4 linked regions of the Saccharomyces cerevisiae S288C genome follow. The gene in region 2 interacts genetically with the main gene of each other region. Each region holds a gene or a part of one and is shown on either strand. Other genes may lie near its edges. The genes, in order: CLB1, NEJ1, YLL006W-A and WTM1.

Evidence for each region.
Region 1: mutations in NEJ1 (region 2) and CLB1 together harm fitness more than expected from each alone (negative genetic interaction), as found in Saccharomyces cerevisiae (one large-scale study listed by BioGRID).
Region 3: mutations in NEJ1 (region 2) and YLL006W-A together harm fitness more than expected from each alone (negative genetic interaction), as found in Saccharomyces cerevisiae (one large-scale study listed by BioGRID).
Region 4: mutations in NEJ1 (region 2) and WTM1 together harm fitness more than expected from each alone (negative genetic interaction), as found in Saccharomyces cerevisiae (one large-scale study listed by BioGRID).

What each region holds. Positions count from the first base shown.
Region 1 is NC_001139.9:701,849-706,336, reverse strand, and holds CLB1 (B-type cyclin CLB1), read right to left. Parts: upstream 2,702-4,488; coding exon 1,286-2,701; downstream 1-1,285. Other genes in the region: B-type cyclin CLB6, read left to right, coding at 1-978. UniProt on the Saccharomyces cerevisiae protein: Essential for the control of the cell cycle at the G2/M (mitosis) transition. Interacts with the CDC2 protein kinase to form MPF. G2/M cyclins accumulate steadily during G2 and are abruptly destroyed at mitosis.
Region 2 is NC_001144.5:673,597-678,127, forward strand, and holds NEJ1 (Nej1p), read right to left. Parts: upstream 1,860-4,531; coding exon 831-1,859; downstream 1-830. Other genes in the region: YLR264C-A (uncharacterized protein), read right to left, coding at 232-348; PDR8 (Pdr8p), read right to left, coding at 2,023-4,128. UniProt on the Saccharomyces cerevisiae protein: Involved in non-homologous end joining (NHEJ). Facilitates the transport of LIF1 into the nucleus, where it can interact with DNA ligase DNL4 to repair double-strand breaks (DSB). Mediates mating-type regulation of NHEJ.
Region 3 is NC_001144.5:133,785-137,021, forward strand, and holds YLL006W-A (uncharacterized protein), read left to right. Parts: upstream 1-2,560; coding exon 2,561-2,737; downstream 2,738-3,237. Other genes in the region: DRS1 (putative ATP-dependent RNA helicase), read left to right, coding at 1-203; LMO1 (Lmo1p), read right to left, coding at 518-2,515; ERMES complex subunit MMM1, read left to right, coding at 2,802-3,237.
Region 4 is NC_001147.6:768,252-772,966, reverse strand, and holds WTM1 (transcriptional modulator), read right to left. Parts: upstream 2,168-4,715; coding exon 854-2,167; downstream 1-853. Other genes in the region: mitogen-activated protein kinase kinase MKK1, read right to left, coding at 1-366; WTM2 (transcriptional modulator), read right to left, coding at 3,155-4,558. UniProt on the Saccharomyces cerevisiae protein: Transcriptional modulator with roles in meiotic regulation and silencing.

The sequences.
Region 1 (4,488 bases), on a different chromosome or scaffold from region 2:
AAAATCGATTCTTTACAACTCCCTCGAGGTAAATTGCAAAGAGATTCCACCCATTTGGAAAAAACAAGAAAGAGACAATTATCAAATGATTCAACCGATCCTATAGAGCCAAAAACTGTGAAAAAAATAAAATGTCATCAATGGAAAAATTTGGATTCGATAGAGATGGATGATCCATTCATGGTAGCAGAATATACAGATTCTATATTTTCTCATCTTTACGAGAAGGAAATCCAAATGCTACCGACACATAACTATTTAATGGACACGCAATCTCCCTATCATTTGAAAAGCTCCATGAGGGCGCTGTTAATTGACTGGTTGGTTGAAGTTCATGAGAAATTTCACTGCTTACCTGAAACATTATTTTTAGCGATCAACCTGCTAGATCGATTTTTATCACAAAATGTTGTTAAATTGAATAAATTACAACTACTATGCATCACTTGCCTGTTCATTGCCTGTAAATTTGAAGAAGTTAAATTACCAAAAATAACAAATTTTGCGTACGTGACTGACGGTGCTGCCACTGTCGAAGGAATTAGGAAGGCTGAGCTATTCGTTCTAAGTTCTTTAGGTTATAACATATCTCTACCAAACCCCCTAAATTTCATTAGGAGAATTTCAAAAGCTGACAATTACTGCATTGAAACAAGGAACATGGCCAAATTCATCATGGAATATTCGATTTGTTGTAATAAATTCATCCACCTGAAGCCATCATATTTAGCTGCAATGTCCATGTATATCGCCAGAAAAATTAAAAATGAAAATTCCAAATGGGATGAAACTTTTATTCATTATAGTGGCGGCATTGATATTGAATCAGATCCAGCGTTTAAGGATTTTATCAGTGAACTAGTTGAAGATATTGCTGTACCTGATACGAATCTAGATTCCTTGAGACTTAAATACAAAAAGCCTAAACATGGCATGGTTTATTTCAAGGTTTTTGACTGGTGTAAACAAAAACGTTGAAACATAGATCAAAATTATAGCCAGCTAACCCCCTGCATCTTAAATATCATCGATAGACATACTTCTTTATTTCTTTTATGTATTCAAAAAAAGAAAGAAAATGCATTATTCCTCACTTTAAAGATAATTTTCCAATTATGGGAGAAAAAATTTATAAATGAATTAATTATTACAGCCTACAAAACTGATACCGTGTGATAATATATATGAGATAACCGTTATATGAATAATGAATGCCTGATTTTTCTATAAAATAGATGATAAAGTAAGGAAGTGAGATTTTGGTTTTCTGTGTAGGCTAGCACCTTCACTCATGCAATGTCATAATATCATATCCATTTTTCCTTACCTTCAATGCCCATTCGATAGAAATTATGGAAGCCTTTAAAAATCTTCTCGATTGATATTTTTTCAAGAACTCGTCGTGAATAGTAGATCCAACAAGATAATCCATCAGTAATTGGCAAACGGGATATAGTTTTGCCTTTGTGTAACCACCACTATAATGGATTAAGTTGCCATCCCAGGTGCCCTTGCCCAGCATTTTTCTCGAAAGGAACATTGCCGCTGAGGCACATAATGACGGTAATATCCCGATGAACTTGAAGTCCACTATAGATATTTCCATTAGGAACTTCGCTAACGTCCTAGACTGGATATCATAGTCATCCGCTTTTGATATTCTCCTTAAGAAATTCATTGGGTTAGCGAAACTAATTTGAAAATCGAGTTTTTCCAATATAAATCTTTCACCCTCTTTAATATCTTCCACAGAGCATGCACCGTCTGTCTCGTACGCAAAATGTTTTATGCTAGGGGAGTATATTTCCTCATACTTAGATGCGATGAACAGGCATGATGTACCAACCAGTTGCAATCTATTTAACTGAACCACCTCTTCACAAAGAAATCTATCCATTATGTTTATGGCCAAATATAGAGTTTCCGGCAGAAGGCCAAACTTATTATGAATCTTGATTATCCAGTTCACCAAAATGTCTCTGTTTTGCTTAATATTTTTATGCTTATAGAGATTCGCCTTATTTGGCAATGTGATTATTTCCAAGTGATGCAAATAATCGAAGATATCATTAACCTCTTCGCTCACCATTAAGGGATCATCACAATCTTCTTCATCTAGGTCATCCCATTCGTACTCCTCCAGAACCTCTTCTTCTGTAGTCAATTCATGGAGTTTGAACTTTTTCTGGTCATCCTGCTCTACAAGAGTTGATATTGGCCTTTTTTTTTTGGAATCTTCTCTCATTATTTTTTTCTGCCATTCCATTTGAGTGGAAATAGACTTGTTCTCAGAGTATATCAACCGATTACAGCTCAAGGCAGTCGAATTCGTATGAAAAGAGTCATCATTTGAGCACTGCTGCTTTTCTTGCTCGGAATATCCATATTCAGGAATATTTTCCTTATTGTTTAGTACTTCTTGTTTCACCCCCTGTCTACTGTCATTAAAAGAGGAGGTGAAGTCATCGGCTCTCGAAACATCATCCTTTAAAGGAAAGAAGTTGTTCAATTTTGAGAAGTTCTTCATCCCAATTTTTCTGTTCATAGAAATCTCTTGCAGGATATTTGCATTATTTGTGACATTACCGAGAATGGTCCTTGGGACGTTTCTCTTTTGTAAGATATATTGACTTTCGTTTACCCCCTTCTCTTCATTACTATTAATGGTTCTACTATTCTCTACCAAAAGGGATCGTGACATTATGAGAAGATTAAAGCTTCCTTTGATGGTTGATATAACGGACGAAAATATTTTGGCTCTGTTCTTGTTGGTAGATCTTATTCTTAATTACGCTTTTGTGATCTAAACAGCTGCACCAGTTAGCAACTTTAATAGTTTTAAGAAACTATACCAAGAGCCACAAGTAAAACTGTCGCTGGAAAAACCGAAGACACTAAAATTGCAGCCTGCTCAAGTTTGGCCGAATGTAAAAAACACAATACAACCAAAATTGCCTAGAATAGATCACCCTAGTATCTTCTTCTTACACAGAAGTGCAATAACTTCTATTACTTAATATATATAACTACACGCCGTATTCATAAAAGAAGGATCAAACCCGTTTCTGCAGAGGAAGACGAATGAGGAAATCACAAACAAAACAAATTGGGCAGACCGTATGCGGAACGCAAATTGAAGTAATATGTTATGTACGTTCCGCACCTAACTTGCAGGATACCCATAAATGATGCTGTAAAAATGCAAGTTGAAAATGATTAATTAATACAACAAATTTAAAGTTACCGTTGACGTGAGTTTTATGGTGCTTCTATATTTTGTGTCCGCTTCTTGATTGTTGATGTTTTTCCTCTTTGGGCGGTTGTAAACAAAAGGTCGTGCCCGTTTTGTGAGAGCCCCTACTCGAAAACGGTAGTGAAAAACCGCCCAAATGATGCATCTAGTAAAGAAAACTAATTGAAGCGCGTCTGTGTGTGCCTGCTTCAAGAATGACACTGGGCATGCATAGCCTCGTTGAAAAGTCCACTTGCAATACGACGAAAGAGGAGCCAGTAGCACATAATTAATCGGAGGGAATCTCGATCGTGTCCTATTCAAATTTGGAAGAAACGCCTTTTTTAACAGAGCGGGCGGACTTTCAATAAAATTGGATGCAAAAAAAAAAAATGACTGAGTACAAGCGAAGCTTACTAAATAATTGGATAACACCATGAATGATATTATGGAGCAATTCGATAGTTCAAAAATTGACAAAGACAATGCTTTTACGCATCAATAAAAAATGCCGTAACTGTTGCAGTTTTCAGCGTTAGTTTCAATTTTAAGATTATTTTTACTATGAATAGAAGATAAATATTTTCATTTCCCCCCCAGTTGTTGTCATTATGAACATATAAAACATTCATTTACTCTTGTTTATTATCATTCATAGATCAAGAATATATGGTAAATAACGCAAGAAGCTCTTGGAACAATCGTAATGATAAAATAGAAAAGAACAATTGCGCTGTAAATTCTTACGTCCAAAACAATTGTAGTTTAATGCGGGTGAAAATACGTTAACATTAGGCTTGTTTCCAACGAGAACTGTGGCAAGGAAATGTAAACATTAGCATTGCAAAGTCTCTTGCCGAACCTATAGATTACCGATTGAACTTGGCTTGCTACGTATTTTCGAAGTAGTGGATATTTTCATCTTGATTGATTTCTGCTAAAATAACAATCAGTTATCTTCCGCATATTACTCATGCAACAAACTGAAGCTATTATTTACCTTACATCGAATTTTCAAGAAGCGATGATAAAAAATGGTGTGAAATTATATGACCTGAAGACCAGAATTAAACAATCATTGAACCTGACAGAAGCTGATGCACGAAAGTTGATACTTTAAAAAGTATTCTGCGTAAGAAAACCAAACTTAAATATTGCCTTCAAAATTAATTTGTATCAATTGCACGAACAGTTGATGGACTATTATGTCATGAAGAAGAACCGCTTCAATTGCCAATATACATAAAGCTAATAGC
Region 2 (4,531 bases):
TTTTAATGGATTCTTTACAAGGGATTTTCGGTTGCCAAAAACAGAGAACAAATGCGTAGAAATACTCAATGATGTCAATTTTTCAAAAAATGAATTAAATGATTGAAGTCACTTAATTTTTGTGGTTTTTTGGAGGTGGGTTGAGTGTACAACTCACTATAATTGATGAGATATTCGACGAACTTGTTACTTTTTTGGATTCCAGAATGTTTACTGAATTTTAAGAATTAATTAATTTGAGGCTAACCTGTATGGCATGGAATAACGAATCGACAAGAAGTCTCTTACTGTAACTTTCTTTTTTTTTGGTGCATCTATCGTTAAATACAATTTAAATATTACATTCATGTACTTACTCAATATAATAATCTGATTACTTCATACAATAGAAGAGAAAGAAACAGTCTCTAAAACTGCTGTCATAACGCGTGGTGTTGTGGTTTTGCTTAATTTTTTTAGACCCATGCACCAGATATTGATCCAATTTTTTTTTGTGGCTCTTTTGCCAATCGCTCTTATTAAGTAAGTTTACATCCGCGGTTATGTTTTGCGTCTAAATTTCATTTACAGTGATGGCGAGCTTGCGCGGCTATTTTTTATGCAGTTTATCATTTAGACACTCAGAAGCTGCAGTGATGTAAGATACTGCTTGAAACTACCGTTAGATTAATAATAAACAATTAGAACTGTCCTAATACATATAAACTTATATGCTCCCTATCAATGGCATAACGTTACCATTCAATAAATTAACATTATCAATGCGTCAACAAAGGAATAGAACTATTTGAAAGGTCCAACCTTAATTTTTGACGTTTAATTGACTTGCCTTAGTTTTTTATTCTCACCTTTCCAAATTTTCTTTTTTTCTGTGGGTATTCTTCGACCAAAGAAGAACTTGATTTTGTTTTTTCTGGTGTAGCCTCAGATTCAGAAAAATTCTCCAGGCGAAGTTGCGAACTGGTACTACTTTCTCTAGATTTTGGCTTGAAATCTGTCTTTGGTTTAATTTTACCGCGGCTATTTGGTCGAGCCTCATTTGTAGGGTCTGCTTGCAATTCAAAATCATCATTATAAAAATGATTCACCGCAGGAAATCTGACGCGCTCTTTTTTGTTAAGTTCTCCAGATTCTTCAAACCGCGACACATCTTGAAATTTGTTTCTTAAAGATAATAATGTTTTTAATGAGTCCGCCAGAAATTCTTGATGCTGGAATTTTCCTTTATGTAGTAATTTTTTGATTATGTCATCGTCTGTGCATTGCTGCAGAGATTCATAATTCTTAGAATTTTCAGGAGCCCATTGACTGATAACTTTACTCCCACCGTCTAAATCACGAAGAGAAATTAAAAGAAAATCTAAGCATTTTTGCTTTTCATTCAAAATATCCCGTTGTACATAGTGGTATTGGGTGGAAAGGTTTACCAATTTTAATAAAAGCATGCATAAACTTTGCAAAATCATATAGAACATATCCTTAGTAACATGTGAAGGTACGCTATTTATGGAAACTGTAATATCCGCAGATACATCGAAACTAAAAACCAAATTTGAATCTACCAATCCAATTTGGTTAATTTCTTGAGGAGCTTGTAGAATGTCCATTAGTTTTAGTTTAATTAGATTTAATGATATACTATCCGTAAAACCTTGGCTCTGGCATTGCTGTGATAATTGAGTTTGTGAAAGTTTGAAAACGTAGGGAACTAAGCGCTCCAAGGAAACTAAAACAATCATTACAATTGTGGTTGGAGATGACATCGGTAGAAATAATAGGAGACAATTTCCCTCACCATTAATTTTTTTAACACACCATTCTGCATCACTTAGCTGCTGCCCTTTCAACTCAGAATCCATCACACATGTGTAAGATTAACCTCCTATCTGGCCGTTGTTATGGTTATTCTCCATAGGGTTTCCACTTATATGACACTATTTTGTGTTTGCCCGCTGCCAACACTATCATCCCTTTTTGGGACGAAAAAATCCATGTAAAAAAATACATCAATCATAAATACATTTATAAATCGAAATGATATTGTTTATAAAATTTCTTTTTGTCAATGGACCAAAGGTCTTTGGAAATCTCTTTGAACGTTTTCCAAACATCATTAATAAAATCTTCAATCATGAGATCACTGAAGTGCTCCATATTAATGCCCTTTTTCAGCCAAATTTTTTCAGTCTCTATTCTTGCTTGGGACGCTTTATCGAATAAAACCCTACTTACGCGTTCAAACGCCAAAGTTGAAGTTAACTGATAAAAATTGGAAACTGCTTTTAACAATCGCTTATTTCTTTCATTAACAGCAAATATGCTATCAATAATTTCGTAAAATCTTATTATTGTTCCTGAAAATGACAGAAATTTATCAGTCCTAACATCGAATCCTGTCAAAAGTTCATCAAAGTTTTCTTCTTCATATTTAATGAATTGTATTTTTTTCCCAGTGTCAAGGTCAATAAGGAAAAGGAATGCCTTCTCCCTGAAGATTAACCTATTAAATGCTAAACTGTACACTTGCGATACTATTCGTATTAAAAGTGGATTGATTAGAATAATAGACAGTTTTAGCCCTTCAGTTAACACGTTCTCCTGGTCGTTGATAGGCTCTTTAAAATGAAATACCATTGTATTAACACAGACTGATATGGATATCAACAAGAACTGAACCATTCTGTTCTTATCTATGATTCTGCTTTGTTGAGCGATGATCATCTCAATATTGTATATACTAGCAACTATACTTAGAGATCTTGATAAAATCAATATATCAAAGGGATCAATATCAGAGTAGTAAACTGAATTTGTATAATGTTCGATAGGTGAAAAGTTAGATTGTATAAATTCAATCAATCTCAATGAAAAAGTGGTCAATTTTTCGTTCATCTCTCTCTTGTGAATTTCACGAGTAGTGAATCGGGAAACATCTAAAAAATCGTGCATTAGCTTAACTCTCCTAAAGTCAATACTCGGTGATTGGAAATTCTGCGCAGTAAATATACTTAAGTCCAAAAGATCATCTGAAATAGACGGAGGATTACCTATATCATATGAGGTGGATACATCAAGGAATAAAGCCCAAAACCAAATACACCTCAAGTTTTGTTTGGTTTCCTCACTTTCGTTCAAATACCATTTATCAATATCATTTAAACCCAAACTTATGCACCCCTGGCATAGCTCGTTGATTAAGTCAACGCCTTGAGTCGCATCCCATACACCGTCCGTGCAATTTATCATTACACTAATATAGGACAATAAGAAAAATTGTAGTTTTTCCACGAAATTTGAGCTCGATGATGACAAGGACGCTGCACTTAAAGTGTGAAGGAAATGACTCACGGAAGAAGGGATATCTTGGTTATAATAGCCCAAGCAAAGAATTTGAAGTACAATGCCAAGATTATACTTATCTTTTGCATTACCTTGCAAATCGAGGAGGATGACTAGGTTCTTGTCCGTGGTATCTCTAATAAAAAGTCTGTCCAAGAGGGACAGAATATCGTCTTGGTTGAAGATATGCAATATGCCGAACAGCGGTCCAGCAAAAAAAGATTTAATACAGCTTTCCATTTGAGGAAAACTAGGCAAATCTGCTACAACATCATTTTCATTTAATTGCGATTTAGTGCATTCAGGAAGTGGTTTCAAGACTTTCCATAAATTTTGAAACTCAGTTTGAAACTTATTTTGTTCAAACAAAGATAAAGTTTTCCAGGAAGTGGGGCCAAACACATACCTCGAGCCATTATCACCTAAAACCGAAGTTCTCAGTGACCGTAATGGATTTTCTGAACTCCTGCAATACACCGGTTTCGCATTATTGTTATCGTTTTCCTTCAGTAGAGTCTGCAAATTCTCAATCTTCTGAACCAACGCTACATTGGGCACTTGCTCGAACAGTTCCGTATTAGACAAGGGATAGTTGAACTCTTCTGTGTAAACGCATTGCGGTAGTTTTCTAATTACACATTGCTGACACATAGGCCTGGCCTGACTGCATTTCAGTTTTCTTTTTCTACAAAATGCACATGACTTGATGACCTTCCTCCTCTTGCCCTTCTTACCACTTGAAACGGGCTCTCCGGTAGTAGATTTCATAGGAAAATGGGATCCATCCATCCCAACAAACTAAGTGCCGTTTGCCTCTTTCTTATTCGTCCCGTACCAACCACGTGTTTTCCACCTGTCATGGGCTTTTCAAGAGTTTGTCAACGCGGAAAGGCGCCGCATTGCACCTTGTCGTGATGTATTCTAAGTACAAGTAGTAAAGAAGTAATGACCCTGTTGTTATTGCTCCACTGCTGACCGCTGTTAATGCCTCTTCATGATTTCTGAGTCATTGTTGTACCCTCTGGCGAATAAGCCACTGTTGGTTTTGTGTGCATGTTGGAAAGGCGTTGCAACGGACTGTAACTCCACACACGAAAGAACCCTTAATTTTCAGCCGCTCGTTATTTTATTCAGTTGATCATTTCTTGTATAAATAGATTTAAGCAAATTTAAAGTTGATGATTCTATCTTC
Region 3 (3,237 bases), 540 kb from region 2:
CCAAAGTATTAGGTGCTTTATCAAGGAACAAGAAAGTCACTAACAGCAAAAAGAGAAAGCGTGAAGAAGCTAAGGCAGATGGCAATGGTGCACGTTCTTATAGAAAAACCAAAACCGACCGTATTGCAGATCAAGAAAGAACTTTTAAAAAGCAGAAGAGTACAAATTCAAATAAGAAGAAGGGCTTCAAAAGCCGTAGGTAATAATTTTCATCGTCATTATCATAAAATATCAACATACTTATCACTGTCATTATATTATTAATACTTTGTATTTAAATATCATTAATTCATCTAATAAACAGGGGATTAGTCAAAAATTCCTTTTTTTTTGTTGAATCTGTAGAAGTGAGTATTAATAAACTGCAAGCTATATGCTATATTAAAAGGATTTTTCAAGTACAAACGAACTGAATGGAGACTCAAGCTACTTGCGGGAAAGAATTACAAAATTACATTCCATTCTAGTAAAAAAAAGTTATAAATAAAAAAAAATCGTCTGACGACAAATTTGTATCTTAATCAAAATAAAAATTTTGGGTTACTTTCTTTAACGTTTCCAAGTTATAAAATTCTTCATCTTCGTCCTCGTCGCTTGGTTCAGGTGGAGGCACTATGATGTCCTGACGAACGTTCAAATTTATCATCTGAACATTTTTCCTCAAATCAAATAAAGTGTCTATTTGTTCTTTCGTGTCTTCTGATATATCTTCATGCTGGAATGGAGATATCAATTTCAATCCGTCTAGCCATATATATCTTCCCTCTTCTGTGTCTAAATAAAATTTCAAAACTGTCCTGTCGTTACGATCTTTTAATTCAACTCCAGTGTACACATTGGCTTCATCTAATTTGATGTAAACATTACTGCTCGTCCGACGACTCGGTGTAGTAAGTTCTATGCTTTTGAAAGAGGTTATATGTTTCAAAACAACAACTTTTGTTCTGCCATTAGCTAATGCCTCAGAACCTGGACTTGTTAAAATTTTATTGTCGAATAGATAAGGTAAATCGTTTGTTTGTGTTTCGAATTCTCTGGCTAATAAATTTGCGTGGTTATCTGAAACTATGAGGAAGTAGACTTTAGGCGTGCCAGCTTCAGGATTCAGTGGGTTCTCTGCGTAAACCCACGTTCCCTTTTGCAATTGAAGAAGTCTTTGATGACGAACGTAATCACGAACCTGGCCTGATAGCATGGTATCGAAGCTAGCGATACTAGATGACCAGGTTCGATACTGTTCTTTTTTGATTGAGTCTAATTGTAATGTTCTTGCAAATTTATATCTCATAGAGTCAAGTGCAACAACTTGGGTCTTGAGAAGGGATTTCGTCTGTATTGCTGCTTCCAAATCACTGGATGACAAACAAACATATTTTAAAGTGATAATAGCTAAATTTAACAGTGAAACCAAATCACTTTGCGATTTTGCTAATGATTCTATCCAAAATCTCAAAAACAACTCGAGTGTTTTGTAAAAACATGTTTGTCGATTGAGAACAGCGGTAGCAATTTGTAATTTTAAATCACGCTCTGAGTCTGAGTATTGGTTCTCTTTTTTCCCACTTAGATTGAAAAGTCTTCTAAATTGGTCTGAAAGTTTAAATATTGCTTCATAAAGAGGGAAATCGTTCTCGCCAAACAACAATTGTTCAGTGTAAAGTCTCTTGAAAGACCCATTAGGACTGTTTAAGAATGTGAATGTATCATACGCATTTAATAAATTTATACTGGGAAGATCGCCCATTTCCATTTCTAACCCTTTTTGGAATACGGAGTTATCTTTGATGGCTGTAAGAAGATCAGCTTTAAGCGAACAGGAATAATCATCAATACTAACCGAAGATAGAAAATTTATTAGCCTCTGCTTTAACGGTACAAATTCTTCAAGGATTAGTGGTTGCAAGTCTTCTATGTAAAGTAATTCAGACATGGAAGCTGGAAAGTTATACTGAAATAGCAAAATGAGGATTCTGGGTACAAATTCTACGGCGTGTGATAGTGATGTCTCACATAATGTAAGTGAGCATTTTAAAAATAGGGTTATGCATAGTATAGTGTCCGTAAACAACGGTATATGAATAGGTCTTTGGGACAAAAGTTGTAAAAGTATTCCAATGAGCTGAGAGTTCTCTCTGGAGATGTGGCAGATGCTCACAATAACTTCATTCTTATTAGAATCTTGGCATTTAAGGGCTACATTAAAAATCCTAATGAGATTTGCTACCAACGTTTCTGACCTTAGCTTTTGGCAATTATCACACAATATAGCCCAAAATCGGGAATCTGGAATTACGGTTTTACATAGGTATTTTTCATCACAAAGGAGGATATAGTTTGCCAATAACTTTTCGTATTCATCACTTGTCTTGTTCAAATTTTTATTACTGATCAGCGTATGATAGCAAGCTTTTGATTGTGCACTCGTAAGTGACTTGACTGGCTTTCCTAATTTAGGATTCAGTAGCACTTTTATGTTTTCCAAGCTTTCATCTGGCATCTGCCTGTTATGCTTCATTGCTTATGCCGTTATTTGAGGTTACTTTAATCTATTTTCCTACTGATGACACAATTGAGTCAATCCAACGTGGAACGGGTTGCCCTTGTATACATTTCAGTTTACTTCTTTTCATGTATTTCCTTAATAGTTTATTTTTTCACTTTCTGCCTATCCGTTTCAATTCCGAAGAACCGTCAACATCCAATAAAGATCATCTACAACAATAAGTGCCCCTCATAATTTTCTCAATGAGATGAAAGAACTTTGAGAGAGTCAATATAATACCTGTAGCCTTTTTCTGAAAATGACTGATAGTGAGAATGAATCCACCGAAACGGATTCGTTAATGACGTTTGACGATTATATAAGCAAAGAGCTACCTGAACATTTACAGAGACTAATCATGGAGAATTTGAAGGGTTCTACTACTAATGACTTAAAGCAAACTTCAAACAACTCAGAGTTTAATGTCAGTAAAAACGGGAGCTTCAAAGGTCTCGATGATGCAATTCAAGCTTTGCAAATGCAAAGCGTGTTGCATCCTTCTTCGTTAGGATCGTTAGCAACGTCCTCCAAATTTTCTGGATGGTCGTTTGCTCAAGGGTTTTTTGTAGGACAGCTAAGCATAGTGTTGTTGTTCATCTTTTTCCTAAAGTTCTTTATATTCAGTGATGAGCCATCTAAAAGTAAGAATCCGAAACCTGCAGCCTCCCGTCACAGATCAAAATTTAAAGAATATC
Region 4 (4,715 bases), on a different chromosome or scaffold from region 2:
TTTCAATCCTAAATCATGTTTACCATCAGACACATCGGCGATGGGTACGAGTTCGGGTAGTGTTTTGCACTTAGACTGTGAATTTATGCTGAGCGAAGGTAAAGATGGCGGTGCAGGCCTCTTCTTCATTGTATTTAAAGTCATTGAAGAGTCGCTAGGATGAAGTCGAGTTTGGGAGAAAAGTGTCGATGTGGAAGAGGTCAGTGGTTCTGGGGTGTGGCTACTGTAAGCTGTGGTGGAACTCCCATTCGACGTCAAGTATATATTATTTTCATCTACCTGATTATTTCGTAAGAGGGGCAGTTTAAGTCTAGGAGAGTTTGGGTTGCATTTCGCAGATTCTGGGGGTCTGAACAGTGAAGCCATACTGGGCAAATTGTGCAATGGAAGGATAGAGTTAATTTGGTCTATGTACACTGCGAGAAATACGCAACCATAAATGAAACGCAAGTTATGAAAAACCGGATCCAACCCTACCAGAGACCAACTTTCTTTTTAAATTGTGCCAAATTTTTGCTGCCCTTTAAAATAGAACTTCCTTATTCTGAGCCGTCACACGCCTTAATGATAATCAGTCGATCCGATTTTTCAATTGTCGCAATGACCTGAGAAATATAATTGCTCGTGTATAGTGACTTATTCGCCAGCAGGTGTACGGTATCTTTCATCAGTAGTAAGTATTGTTTAATTAAATATTGAATAATAAATATACTAACAGTAGCTCATACATAACTTTAGGCGCGCACTTTCATCACACAGGGTAAAGAAACCAGCCCTGGGTGAGAAAAACTAATAATAGTTAAAAGCATTAAATATATAAATATGGCCTTGTTCCGCGCGTTTAGCATGGCGACTATTCGCTTTCCTCGGTATAGGGCTTGTAGATGCTGACTAAACTATCGTCATCGACAGTACCAACCAAGTTTTCAATAACTGGATGCCAAGCGGCGGTGTTTCTTCTTCCAATCTGTTTTGGAGATCTTCTGCTTCCACCCTTGTGCAAGAATCTCAGAGATTTTGTTTGTGATTCTTCAGTGGCATCTTGAGGAGGAGCAATGGTATCGTCAGGATTGTACTTTGACAAGGAATAGTCAGTGTTCCAGTGGTAAATATTACCAGTGCCGCCCACAGTAAAGAATTCAGAGCTTGAAGTGGCAGAAAATTGGACGTCGACAACAGAATCACCGCCGGCATGATAGAAGTTAGCGATTTCATTCTGAATTGGATCTTCACCGTTTTGTCTATAAGTCAAATCAGTGGTGGCAGCTTCAGCCGCTCTGGCATCCCATAACTTGATAATACCCGTACTGAAACCGGTAACAAACAAGTTGTTGGAAACCTGAGAGCAATCAAACGAGGTCAATTTTCCGTTCTTTGGTTCTCCCAACACCCATATAGGCTTGTCGGAAGTTCTAGTGTCCCAGAACCTCAGAATATTGTCATCTGAACAAGACGCAAAGATATGATTGTCGAAAAATCTTACGGTGTGAGTCACAGTGGTACCAGGCACATGAACAGTACGTAGAATCTCACCAGGCTTACCGGCATTGTCAATGATTTTCAAAATACTGTCTTCTTCATCACCATTACTCTGAGACTTCACAATGGTTTCGGTATCATTGGAAATGCCGAAGTCAGAGATGGCTAATGAGAAATCCTTTTCAGGTAGATCACCAGGTCTGGTTAAAGAATGGATGCTGGCATAGCTGGTTGCTGGACCCATCAATTCCTGTACAATGTGAATAGGGACCTTTATACCCTCTTTGAACCAAGCCAACGACCCGTTCTTAGACATCGACAATAATGTAGTTTCTCCAGTCTTATCTAAGTAGGCCATTTTGGAGACAGTTTCACCCTGGTACACGAATTTTGGGCTCAACGAGGTGTTTTCAATACCTTCAAAGGCGTCACCATAGTCTTTCACCGGTTCTGAAGCGGCTTCTTGTAGTGGTACAGCGAAGTCAATTTCGTAGATATCACTACCTTGAGAGTATATAACACTTGAGGTTAGAGTGTTATTTTTTTTATCTGGAACAACAACGTTGCTGAACGTCAAGGACTTCCTTTGGTGCAGAACATTGTCCACACGAGACACAAATTTTGGTCTTAAGCTGGAGATATGTTCATAAGTGGAAGGCGTAGATGATTTCCAAACCTTTTTTGGCATTTTTGGTTGTAATGTATAGTGTGTTACAATTTATTTGTATCTTTCAAGATTGGTTGATTAATAATTAATTTTCTTATCTAATATCTACAATTCAGGCGAATATAAACTTTTCGGATCTTCTTTTTTCCCTCCCTTTATACTGGAAGCTACAGAACTGAAAAAAAAAAAAAAAAAACATAGAACATTAAGGGGACAGACTGCATGGAAAAGGAAAAGGTAAAAAAAAGCCCCGAAATGGTACTCTTAAATATGAGATGATAAACGAGGATTCGAAGGAAAATAGCCCAACTATCTACGAGTTGAAATTAAAAGGGAGTAGTGAGCGCCACTATGTGTGCTCACTGTGTATAGCTAAGCAATTACATAAGGGATAGTACATAAACCACCGTATGTTAGGAAAGAGGAAAAAAAGGAAAGACAAAGGTCTTTTGCCTATTGTATGACTTAGCCTTTCTTTGTTATACCCCGGCGCGTTCCAAAAAGGGAAGCCAGCACAGCACCGCATATTGAATACCGCCTTCTCACGTGGTACAGGCACAACTATCTTGCATGTGCCTCTGGGTCTTTCTTAGCGACAGCCTTTTAAGATTCTGAATTGTAAACATCGAGCTTCATCCGAGAAACGAAAGAGGGAATCTTGAAATGGACTATGTCACCATTAGATCCTCCCTCTTCTCCATATAGCCGGTTTTTGTCTTATTTCTTTGCTGGAAAGAAAAAAAAGAAATTGCTTGGTTAATTACTGGTAACCCTCTTTTCTTGAGGCCTTACTTCGTTGGCTTCAGAAATCTGAAAGAGTCTTTATTAGGAGCGATACCAGTATCTATACAACATTATACCATCACTATATATTACAAAAAAAAAAATAACCCCGATAGCGTGCTAGAAATGAATAAAAAAAAAAAAAACAGAATTATGTACGTGAATGCTTGTGAGTTACTGCCTTTCCCATAGGTGGTAACGTTAATTTCTTACTCTTTTTTTTTTTTAATCGTCGTAACCTCTGCCAATGAAGTCACTGGCCAGAAATGGTTTGTAGGCAGTAACAAGACTATCTGAATCAACAGTGCCAACAAAATCATTGATTACGGGGTGTAGCGCCACAGTGTTCCTCTTCCCGAATTGGTTGCTCGATCTTCTTGTGCCACCTGTGTGGAAAAATTTTAAACATTGACCCTGAAGTTCCTCCGGAGCAGCCACTCGAACTTCGTCTTCGTTGTCATCGTCGTTTCTTGAAAAAGAGTACTCCATGTCCCAGTGGTAGACATTACCCGTTCCTCCAACCGTAACAAATTCTGTTGCAGAGGTTTGTGAGAACAGGATATCGACAACGGAATCGCCGCCAGAATGGAACAACTTGGCTATTTCGTTTTGGATCGGTTCCTCGCCGTTCTGCCTATGTGTGAGGTCAGTAGTAGCCAGTTGCACAGCACGCGCATCCCATAGCTTGATGACACCCGTGCTGAACCCAGTGACAAATAGGTTTTCAGTAACTTGAGAGGAATCGAAGGACGTTAGTCGTCCATTTTTCGGTTCGCTTAGCGTCCAAAGCGGTTTGTCCGCTGTTCTTGTGTCCCAGAATCTTAAAATGTTGTCATCTGAACAAGATGCAAATAAATGGTTGTTAAAAAATCTAACTGAGTGAGCCACGTTGGTCCCTGGAACGTGCACTGTACGTAATATATCTCCCGGTCTATCGGAGTTGTCGATGATTTTCAAGATGCTGTCCTCCTCGTAGCCGTTACTTTGTGACTTTACTACCGTATCCATATTTGTCGACACATCAAAATCTGACACTGCTAATGAACCTGGTCTGGTTAGAGAGTGAATACTAGAGTATCTAGTAGCAGGGCCCATCATTTCCTGTACGATATGAACGGGAACCTTGATCTCATCTCTGAACCATGCCAAAGAGCCGTTCTTGGACATCGCGATCGCCGTACTGTCGTCTGAGCTTTCCAAGTATTGCATTTTTGCCACTGTTTCGCCCTGGTAAATCCACTTTGGGCGCAATGGTTTCCCCTCAACATCTTGGAAAGCATCACCATACTCTGGATTTGGGGTGGCTGCAGACTTCGTCTTGCCGTTACCTTCTTCGTCGTCGTCGTCGTTGTCGTCGTCGTCGTCGTCGTCATAGAATGTCTTTAATGGTAAAGTAGTGTCTATTTCGTAAATATCACTACCTTGAGAATATAAAAGACTAGTCGTCAAGGTGCCCTTGGATTTGTCTGGAATAATCTCACTTCTCCATGTCAGTGTCTTGCTAAAATGTAAAACATCGTCGACTCTTGTGCTGAATTGTGGTTTAAAGCTAGAAATGTGTTGGTATAAAGAAGGTGCCGGTTTACGGCGTGCTCCACTCGCACCCTGACTGGATTTGCTTTTCGCCATCCTCTATCCTTTTTAGTTCTTGCTCCCGTCGCTACTAATTGCTCCTTGTCTTATAAGTAAATGTAGCTGTACAGCAGAGATGTTCCATACGTCAGCTAACTAATTGCCTTTAATCTTTTTTTTTTTTATTTTTTTTTTTTTTCAAAAACAATAGAAT